Mus musculus: one gene and its partner. The protein of the gene in region 1 binds, or shares a complex with, the protein of each later gene. Links are inferred from orthologs where the notes say so. Each region holds a gene or a part of one and is shown in the gene's direction. Other genes may lie near its edges. The genes, in order: Polr3b and Polr3gl.

Region 1 (4,475 bases):
CCATCTTGGTGGCCTGTAATTTTTTTCTTTCTTTCTTCACTTAGTTTCAGAAGTCTATCAGCACAACGTTTAGATACAAGCACTGAAATTTAACTAGCTAACTCTGTACGCAGATTACCTTGGACCAGGTTTAAAAAAAAAAAAGAACACATATTATTAGATGGTGCTAATTATACAGGTGAACTATTAAATAGTTCAACTATTAAATGGCCAGGAGCATTGTACACACTCATGTGACACCATCCATCTCCACAATTTTTGTATGTTCCCAAACTGAAACTCATTTAAAAACTGTTGGCATCTTTTACCTCTTCTTCCCATGGGATTTTTCTTACCATTGGACTTGCATGAACTCATTTCCAATTTCAGTGACAAATCCTTTTGTCTTCTACCAACTGTGTGTTTACTATTCATAGAGATTTTTTATAGGTGTATCTAATTTTTTAAAAATTAATGGAATACAACTTTTAGCAATTCTTATGCTTTCTCCGTTGCCATCCTTGAAATCTTTCACCAATCAATGTTATTAATACATTACCTTTTCTTTGGAGACAGGGTTTCATGTAGCCCAGGCTGGCCTCGACCTTGTTAGGTAGCCAAGGATGCCCTTGAATTTCTGGATGCCCTCCTACCTCTAGCTTCTAAATGCTGGGATTATAGGTGTCTGTGCTGCCGTGGGAGGATTATGTGCAATCCTTCGTTTATTCGGTGTAGTGGTAACAAACTCCGTCCCTCTGACGTTTCCTTCTAGTGTTTTGTTAAGGTATATTTCATCGACATAGGATTTAAACATATTTTCCCCCAAACCGTTAATTAACTATTCTAATATAATTTATTGGGTTTTCCCTAAGAGGATCTTGGACCTCATTCTTCAAACTCCCTGAGACAGTGAGGTTGTGATCCTACCACCTCTACATACCAAATGCTGGGATTAAAGTCGTGGGCCCCTACACCCTGTCATAGCAGGAATCAACCCCAGGTGCTCTGGAAGAGCAACCAGTAGTCCTCAATCCCTGAGCCGCCCCTGGGTCCTAAGTCACTGATCAGGTCGCTCCCGTTTAAACCCTTCAATGGTGCTTTACTATTCCCAGGGAGAAAGTCTAACACCTTCTAAGAGTTAACACATTTCAGAATCAGGAAGGCATCTTTTACTGCCCCCTGGCTGTCCTGGAACTCACTTTGTAGGCCAGGCTGGCCTCGAACTCAGAAATCCGCCTGCCTCTGCCTCCCGAGTGCTGGGATTAAAGGCGTGCGCCACCACGCCCGGCTGATGCCTGTTCATTACACGCAGGTACCACCAATTATTTAAGCAAGGACTTTTGCTCTTCTGTACTACACAACATACAAGCAGTTTAGACTGAGTTAATTGAAATCTCTGCTTTAGAAGTTCATGTTGTGACTAATGTGTATTATCGAGTCATTTTTCAGATTAGTTATACAGTTAGAACTACTATACTTTGCCGTATTCAATCATTCTGGGGATACTGGAAATGAGCCTGTCAAGAGGCTAGGATTAGCCCGGCGAGACCTCGGAAGTACACCAGTGGGTGTAGTTTTCCACATCCGGCTCGGTCACTTCCGGGTTCCTCCGCAGGTTAGGCCCTGACCAGGCGGAACCTTTTGAAACGCCTCCCCGTAAACAAGCGCCACGGGGACACCGGAGGAGAACGCACACCACTCTCCGCGTGCTACTTGCTTGGAGCCGCACGGGCGGATGTGAACATTCTGCCGACTTCTTCCTCTACCGTGAATGGAATGGATGTTCTAGCCGAGGAGTTCGGGAGCCTGACTCCGGAGCAGCTGACTGCGCCGATCCCGACTGTGGAGGTAAGTGCCGTGAGCGCAGGCAGCGGAAGAGGTTGGAGACGACTAAGGAGGCGTTGCCGGGAGAGTTTTCAGGATGACGAGGGCGGGTCCCTGGGCTTCTACGCATGCTCAGAACTTCTGCACATGCTCGGAGCTCCGGGTGTGTGAGCTTTTACCAGGTGTGGTTCTTGAGCGTTTGTAGCAGCAAGTACAGATCTCTCAGTAGCGTCCTACGTTTAGAAGCTTAGCGAATGGCTCTCGGGTAAAGCTTTTCTAATTTAAGTGTGCACTGGCAAGAATTGGTCCTTGTGTATTCTCTCAGGAACCAATATCTTCTTGCCGATCTCACCTGGAAGGACACAGAGATCCTGAGAACGTAGGCAATGTTCTTGAGGTCCCATAGCCGGCTTTGGTGCTAAAAGTAAATGGGAATCTCACCCTTGTCATCATTTTCCTTTTACTCCACAGTTTCTTTGGACTGCAGGTTTAGTTTAAGTACCTTGACTATCCCTTCGTCCCCCATTTTTGATCTTGTATTTTCTTAGGGGCCCCTATAGCTTTCATCAGATTCTTAAAAGTTAAAGGATAATTGCTTCACGGTGAACTGCCTAAGGAAGTGCAGTTATTGACATGATTTTGTTTCCTGAGAAGGTATATAAATTCTCACTGAACCTTGACATCTTTGGCACAGAATAGGGACATCTAGGACTGAAGATGGTCGAGGAAGAAATTCAGGCAGAGGAACAGGTTGTACATGACCCCAGACACACCATCAGTTGTTTCAGGGGAACAAATAAATCTAGTGGAGCTAGGGGAAGAGGGCAGTAAAAGATGCCTTCCTGATTCTGAAATGTGTTAACTCTTAGAAGGTGTTAGACTTTCTCCCTGGGAATAGTAAAGCACCATTGAAGGGTTTAATTGGGAGCGACCTGATCAGTGACTTAGGACCCAGGGGCGGCTCAGGGATTGAGGACTACTGGTTGCTCTTCCAGAGCACCCGTGGTTGATTCCTGCTATGACAGGGTGTAGGGGCCCACGACTTTAATCTCAGCATTTGGTATGTAGAGGTGGTAGGATCACAACCTCACTGTCTCAGGGACTTTGAAGAATGAGTTCCAAGATCCTCTTAGGGAAAATACACAGTATTTGTCTTTGTGTTTGGCTTATTTCTCAGTGTTCCCCTACTCCTAATCAACAGGACCTGCAGCCCATGCAGCAAAGGATAGTTAAGAATGTAGCCCAGTCCAAAACTGCAGACTTAACTCCAAGCTTTATGAGTGTTATTTTATTTTACTTTTAATATTTTTGGTATGGCTCTCCAGGGAGAGTTTTGTAGATCACAGCGTCGTGTTACAGTGTTGCTGTAAGGAACCTTCCTCACAATCGTCCTTAATTGCAGCATGAGCTGGAACTCTCGGTGTCTTCCAAATGGGCCACTACACTGCTTTCTGGTCCTTCTGTCTGTGTTTCCCAGCCCTAACTCAGCTTTTGAGCCACGGTGCACTGGCTCACTGGAACCTGCTGTCACCTCATTCACTACCTTAAGCCTCTTCAATGTACCTACCTTTCTTTCCTCACCATGTCTAACTCATAGCAGGCATAGACATCCTCAGTGTTCTCCACCCTGCCAGCTCCTTCAACCCTGTGCGCTTGCACACAGTGGCTCCCTTTATTTGGAATGCCTCCCTCATACAACCACCATGCTCAGTCATGGCAGTATACCTAGCATCTATAATAATCCACCTCACTGCATACTGTTATAGCACCTACCAAGTGTCATTCCATTTGCTTACATGTCGCCCCTATTAAGCTAACGACTTCTGAAGTCAGGAGGCAAGTCTGTTTACTTGTTTAAGTTGCTGAAACACTACCCCATAAGTACTCAGTATAGTCGATTAGTATTTGCTCACCTCATCGATGAATAATAACCAGCCCCAAAGCCTGAGTAACTTTTCCTACCACAGTATAATATGAAGGAAAAATATAATAGAAATGATTAGTTCAAATAAACCAGAGCTCCTGTCTAGAAAGTTGTAGAGAAAATACAAGTTGTGGAGCTGAATAGAAAATAGGCTGAGCTAAAAGGAAATAGCATTTGTTCATTTAACTCAGCACGCGAAACTATTGCTCTAGTAAGTACTGTTCATTACTGTTTATTATCCCACTTACATAGATGGGAATAATCAATATGAGTAAGTGCAATGTCAATTTCTGAGTCTCCCGTGCCATTCTTTGCCTTCTTTGGCAAAGGCAGTAAGTAACATGATTCATTATGTTCATTCATTCAGAAAAAAGAAAATGCCAAAGCCTGAGCACCCTGCTACAGAGAATAAGACCAGGGAAAGGGGCCAGCGGTGTTAGAAACACGCAAGGGTCTATGGCAGACACTGTGGTAGCTTCCTAAGGAAGACATGATTGAAACACAAAATGTAATCTACAAATTAAAGTTGAAAGTTTAATGAGAAAAAAAACTATCAAAGACAGAATAAGTATACAAGGGGAAAAACAAAACAAAACAAAAACCCAACCCAACAGAGCAAGTACACTAAGCAATGGTGGGAAAGAGGTGGGAAGTAAGCATTGGCCAGACTTGGTAAAAACAACAACAACAACAACAAAAACCATGTTGATGACTTTAGATTTTCTCCTATGTCTCAGTCAGTGTTCTG
Region 2 (4,332 bases), on another chromosome or scaffold:
CAACCCTCACAACTCAATGAGGGGGGAACTATTGTCTTCCTGCAACAAATGATAATGAGGTTAAGCAAGTTCCCCCAAAGCGCTACAGCTATGTTTTTATACTATTCCAAAAACGGAGTATGTGTCATCCACATGCAACTTCCCAGTCTAGAGGCCATTTTCTCTGACCTCTGTCATATTCTTGTTGACTGACTCCTAGTTTTACATCCATCCTGAAGTATTTCCCTTTACTTCTACTCTGTAAAAAAAATGACTCTTTCTATTCTGCCCTCTTTCCTTGAAGGGGCTTGAAGGGCAGTGGAAAGTACAGAAAGAAAAAACCCACTGGGTTCCTGCCTTCTCTCCCCAATTACTGCTCTGGTCCCAAGCCCCCTTCTCTCCCTCACTTCTCAGACACCGCAACAATCCGCATTTGGGGCCTGAGCTTGGTAGCAGAGTCAAGAGTATCAAGAGTTCAAGGCCAGCCTAGACTGGGTAGCCAGACCCTGCCTTTAGAGAAAAAAAATCTTTTAAAGATTATTTATTAGTAGTGCTGGTGACTGAGGAAGAATAATAAAGAGGGTGTGTGTGGTATGTGTGTGTGTGTGTGTGTGGTGTGTGTGGTGTGTATGTGATGGCCTAAGCCAGAAGAGGGCGCGGGAGTCCGGTAGTTGGGAACCTCCTGGAGTGTTTCTCTGTGTGTGTGTGTGTGTGTGTGTGATGTGTGGTGTGTGTGTGTGTGTGTGTGTGTGTGTGTGTGTGTGTGTGATGTGTGGTGTGTGTGTGTGTGTGTGTGTGTGTGTGTGTGTGTGTGTGATGTGTGGTGTGTGTGTGTGTGATGTGTGGTGTGTGTGTGGTGTGTGTGTGGTGTGTGTGTGTGTGTGTGTGTGTGTGTGGTGTGTGTGTGTGTGTGGTGTGTGTGTGTGTGTGTGTGTGTGTGTGTGTGTGTGTGGTGTGTGTGTGTGTGTGTGTGTGTGTGGTGTGTGTGTGGTGTGTGTGTGTGTGTGTGTGTGTGTGTGTGTGTGTGTGTGTGTGTGTGATGGCCTAAGCCAGAAGAGGGCGCTGGAGTCCGGTAGTTGGGAACCTCCTGGAGTGTTTCTGGGAACTCCTGCAGGCACAGCTGTTAACAGATGAGCAGTCTGGTTTCTCTGACCCAGGGCTACATTTCCCAGCAGCGGTTCTCCTCTTCTGGCTCCGCCACGTGTCTGGATGAGCTCTGAGTAGCAGGACATCTTAGCCATCTAGTTCGGTCTGGGCATAAGAGGTGAATTCTGCAGCCCCAGGTCTCAGCGCGCCACTTCCCAAGCCTCAGTTCCGGTTAAGCTCGCTCCCTCCTCCTCCCCTCCTCGCCCGCCTCCGCTCTCGTCGATTGGCCAGGAAAACCCACCAATGGAGAGCTCGGGGAGGCGGGCCTAGAACGAGGGCTGGAAGAAGAAAAGCAAATTTCAAGTTGGCGGCTGCGTGGGCCCTGAGTGGGGGAGGGACGGCAGGTAAGGCTTCGACCTGGTGGCTCTGACCCGGTTTGGTTCGGTACTTCCCGAATTAGTCCCTCGGCGCCGACAGCGACGTAGATAACGCTTTCTGTCAGCCTGTTGGATCAGCCCCCTTCTAAATCCCTCCCCTTTTTCCCCGGGCTCTCACTGCTGTCTTGACTGTACGCCGGAGACAGCTTGCTGTCGCGCCTGGGGACAGATATTAAAGCAGGAGAGGAAGGTTCATTCTTGTAGCTCAGACTCTTCTATGGTACCAGCTTCTCCCGCACCCATTAACGTAACATTAGCCCCCTGTCAAGAGCCTGACAGATTCTTATTACCTATCAAGTCAACTGAACCGCTACCCTCTACCCACCACTTTCCTAGACCACCGTGAAGAATTTATTGATCCCCGACCTGACAAAGTCCGATTATCACTATTGGAATCTCTTTAATTTTTAAAATTACATTATTTGTGTGTGTGTGGGGGGGGTACGTACAAGCCATGGCTTACGCAAGGAGGTCAGAGGACAACTTGAGCTAGTCAGCCTGTTTCCTGGCCACTTGGCAACACGAGTATTTACCATCTCACGAGGCTGACTTTTTCCATCCCTCCCATGCTTTTATCGGCAGACTCTTGCTATGTAGCCCATACTGGCCTCCAGTTTGCATTCCCCCTGCCACAGTACCCCCGGTGTTAGGATTATATGTTCTCTTTCACTGTTTCTATTCTATGAACGGAAGGTTTGATGGGACAGATTGGGGTACTTAATACATTGTGTTCAGTAAGCGTTAATCGAGTGGAATTGATTTGTGGGAACCAGTGCTCTTGTCAAGGAGGACAAATTTAAACTCCTGATATAATTAGGGAACAATAAAAGACAACATTATATAATTAGGGGTCTTTGAACTGGTGGTTTATTGCATTAATGTTTTATAGTTATTCTCAGACCAGAGAAGGAAAACAACAAAAAGAACCAGAAGGGAGTCTTTGTGACTCACAGAGTCTGTAGACACATGTTCAAAAGACAGATATTTACTGAGAACCTACTACATAGCAGACACAGTGCTAGACAACCGGGATCACAATGAACCCTCTGATAACATCTATTCAATAAATTGTTATTTAGTATGTGGGAAAATATTTTCGAAACCAGTTCTTTCTATGCAGGGCAAACAGGCTGACCTCCAACTTATGACCCTCCTGCCTCACCCTTTCTGGGATAACAGGCTTGTACCACTGCACCCCAAATAAGCTTTTTTCTTTTAAATTGAGAAATGTGAGTCCGGTCTTACAAATGCTAAGCATTCATTCTGCCCCTGAACTACACCCCTAGCTCTGAAACAGCATCTTTAGGAAGAGAACTCACTAGCTCTTTTCAGGTCGGTCCACTCTTTCACTTTTTCCTTTGAATTTATTCAACTTAAACTTACTTATTATTAGTGGGCCTGGGTGGAGTGTGTACCATGGTGCATATGTGGAGGTCAGGCTGGCCCCAAACTCACCATGGAACCAAAGATGAATTGAAATTTCTGAATGACAGGCTTGGCCCAAGGCTTTCTGCTAAGCGAGTGTGTTGTTGCTGTTGTTGTTGTTGTGAGGGTTTGCTTATTTTCTTTAACTGGGGATTGAATTGAGGCCCTAGTGATTTGCTAAGTAGGGTTCCACCACTGAGCTATAGCACCCACTCGTCCTCTGAATTCTTGTGTGTGGGTGGGCGTTTGGTCTGCATGTGAGTCTTTGTACCACTTGTGTGCTTGAAACCCTCAGAAGGCAGAAAAGGGTGTTGGGTTCCCTGGGACGGGTTACAGACAGCTGTGAGTCCCTGTGTGGGTCCCGGGGAATCGAATCCCAAGTCCTCTGGGAGAGCAGCCAGTGCTCTGAGCCACTGAACCATTCTCCAGATTTCCCCTGCATTCTTGAAAACGAAGCATCCTTTTTACTTGTTGATTGTAGGATATACATTTATTCCACACAACTTTCAAACACATAGTAATATAAGAGTGTGCATTATTTCATAGCCCTAAGGTAATAATGATGGTAATTAGTATTTTACAACTTTAAACTTTATTGTTATTTTATGTACTTGCACACTGGTGCCACCGCATGCATGTCAGCGTCAGAGGACAGCTTTGTAAGGTTATGTCTCCCTTGCACCTTAGTTGGTTCCAGGGATGGGACTCAGGTTCTTGGACTGGCACTGACTTTATCTGCTGAGCCATCTTGCCTGCCCCTGATACTAGTATTTAGACATATGTACTCTCAGTTTATTCTGTATATATGCAAAACTTTTTGTTTTATAAGTAAATAGAGCCACACTATAAATTCAATTTTGTATCAAGAATGAAAACATTAAAAAAACAACAACAACAGATAAATATGACTTTATATTGTAGTCTCCTTCACCCCTAAACACTCCATATTATTAACCTCCTCCCTTGAAAATGGCTTGTTTGGGGGTTTTTGTTATTTGTTCTGGATGTTGTTGTTGTTGTTGGGTTTTGCTTTTTTGTTTTGTTTTTTAAAGATGCACTTATTATATTTATGTGAGCTCACTGTAGCTGTTTTTCAGACACCCGAAGAGGGCATCAGATCCCATTACAGATGGTTGTGAGCCACCATGTGGTTGCTGGGAGTTGAACTCAGGACCTCTGGAAGAGCAGTCAGTGCTCTTAACCACTGAGGCATCTCTCCACCTTTGTTTTGGTTTGGTTTTTGGTTTTTCTAGACAGTCTGTTTCTCTGTGTAGCCTTGGCTGTCCTGGAACTCACTCTGTAGACCAGGCTGGCCTCAAACTCTAGATTTCTGCCTGCTTCTGCCTCCTGAGTGCTGGGATTAAAACCAGGCTGTTTTTGGTTTGTGGTTTTTATCATCTATTAT

Evidence for each region.
Region 2: Polr3b (region 1) and Polr3gl share a complex: the UniProt entries of both Homo sapiens proteins name them as parts of the RNA polymerase III (Pol III) complex. The link is inferred for Mus musculus from reciprocal best matches to the Homo sapiens genes POLR3B and POLR3GL.

What each region holds. Positions count from the first base shown.
Region 1 is NC_000076.6:84,620,712-84,625,186, forward strand, and holds the start of Polr3b (DNA-directed RNA polymerase III subunit RPC2), read left to right. Parts: upstream 1-1,586; 5' UTR 1,587-1,755; coding exon 1,756-1,827; exon of another isoform or gene 1,828-1,934; intron 1,935-4,475. UniProt on the Homo sapiens protein: Catalytic core component of RNA polymerase III (Pol III), a DNA-dependent RNA polymerase which synthesizes small non-coding RNAs using the four ribonucleoside triphosphates as substrates.
Region 2 is NC_000069.6:96,591,221-96,595,552, reverse strand, and holds the start of Polr3gl (DNA-directed RNA polymerase III subunit RPC7-like), read left to right. Parts: upstream 1-1,371; 5' UTR 1,372-1,469; intron 1,470-4,332. UniProt on the Homo sapiens protein: DNA-dependent RNA polymerase catalyzes the transcription of DNA into RNA using the four ribonucleoside triphosphates as substrates. Specific peripheric component of RNA polymerase III which synthesizes small RNAs, such as 5S rRNA and tRNAs.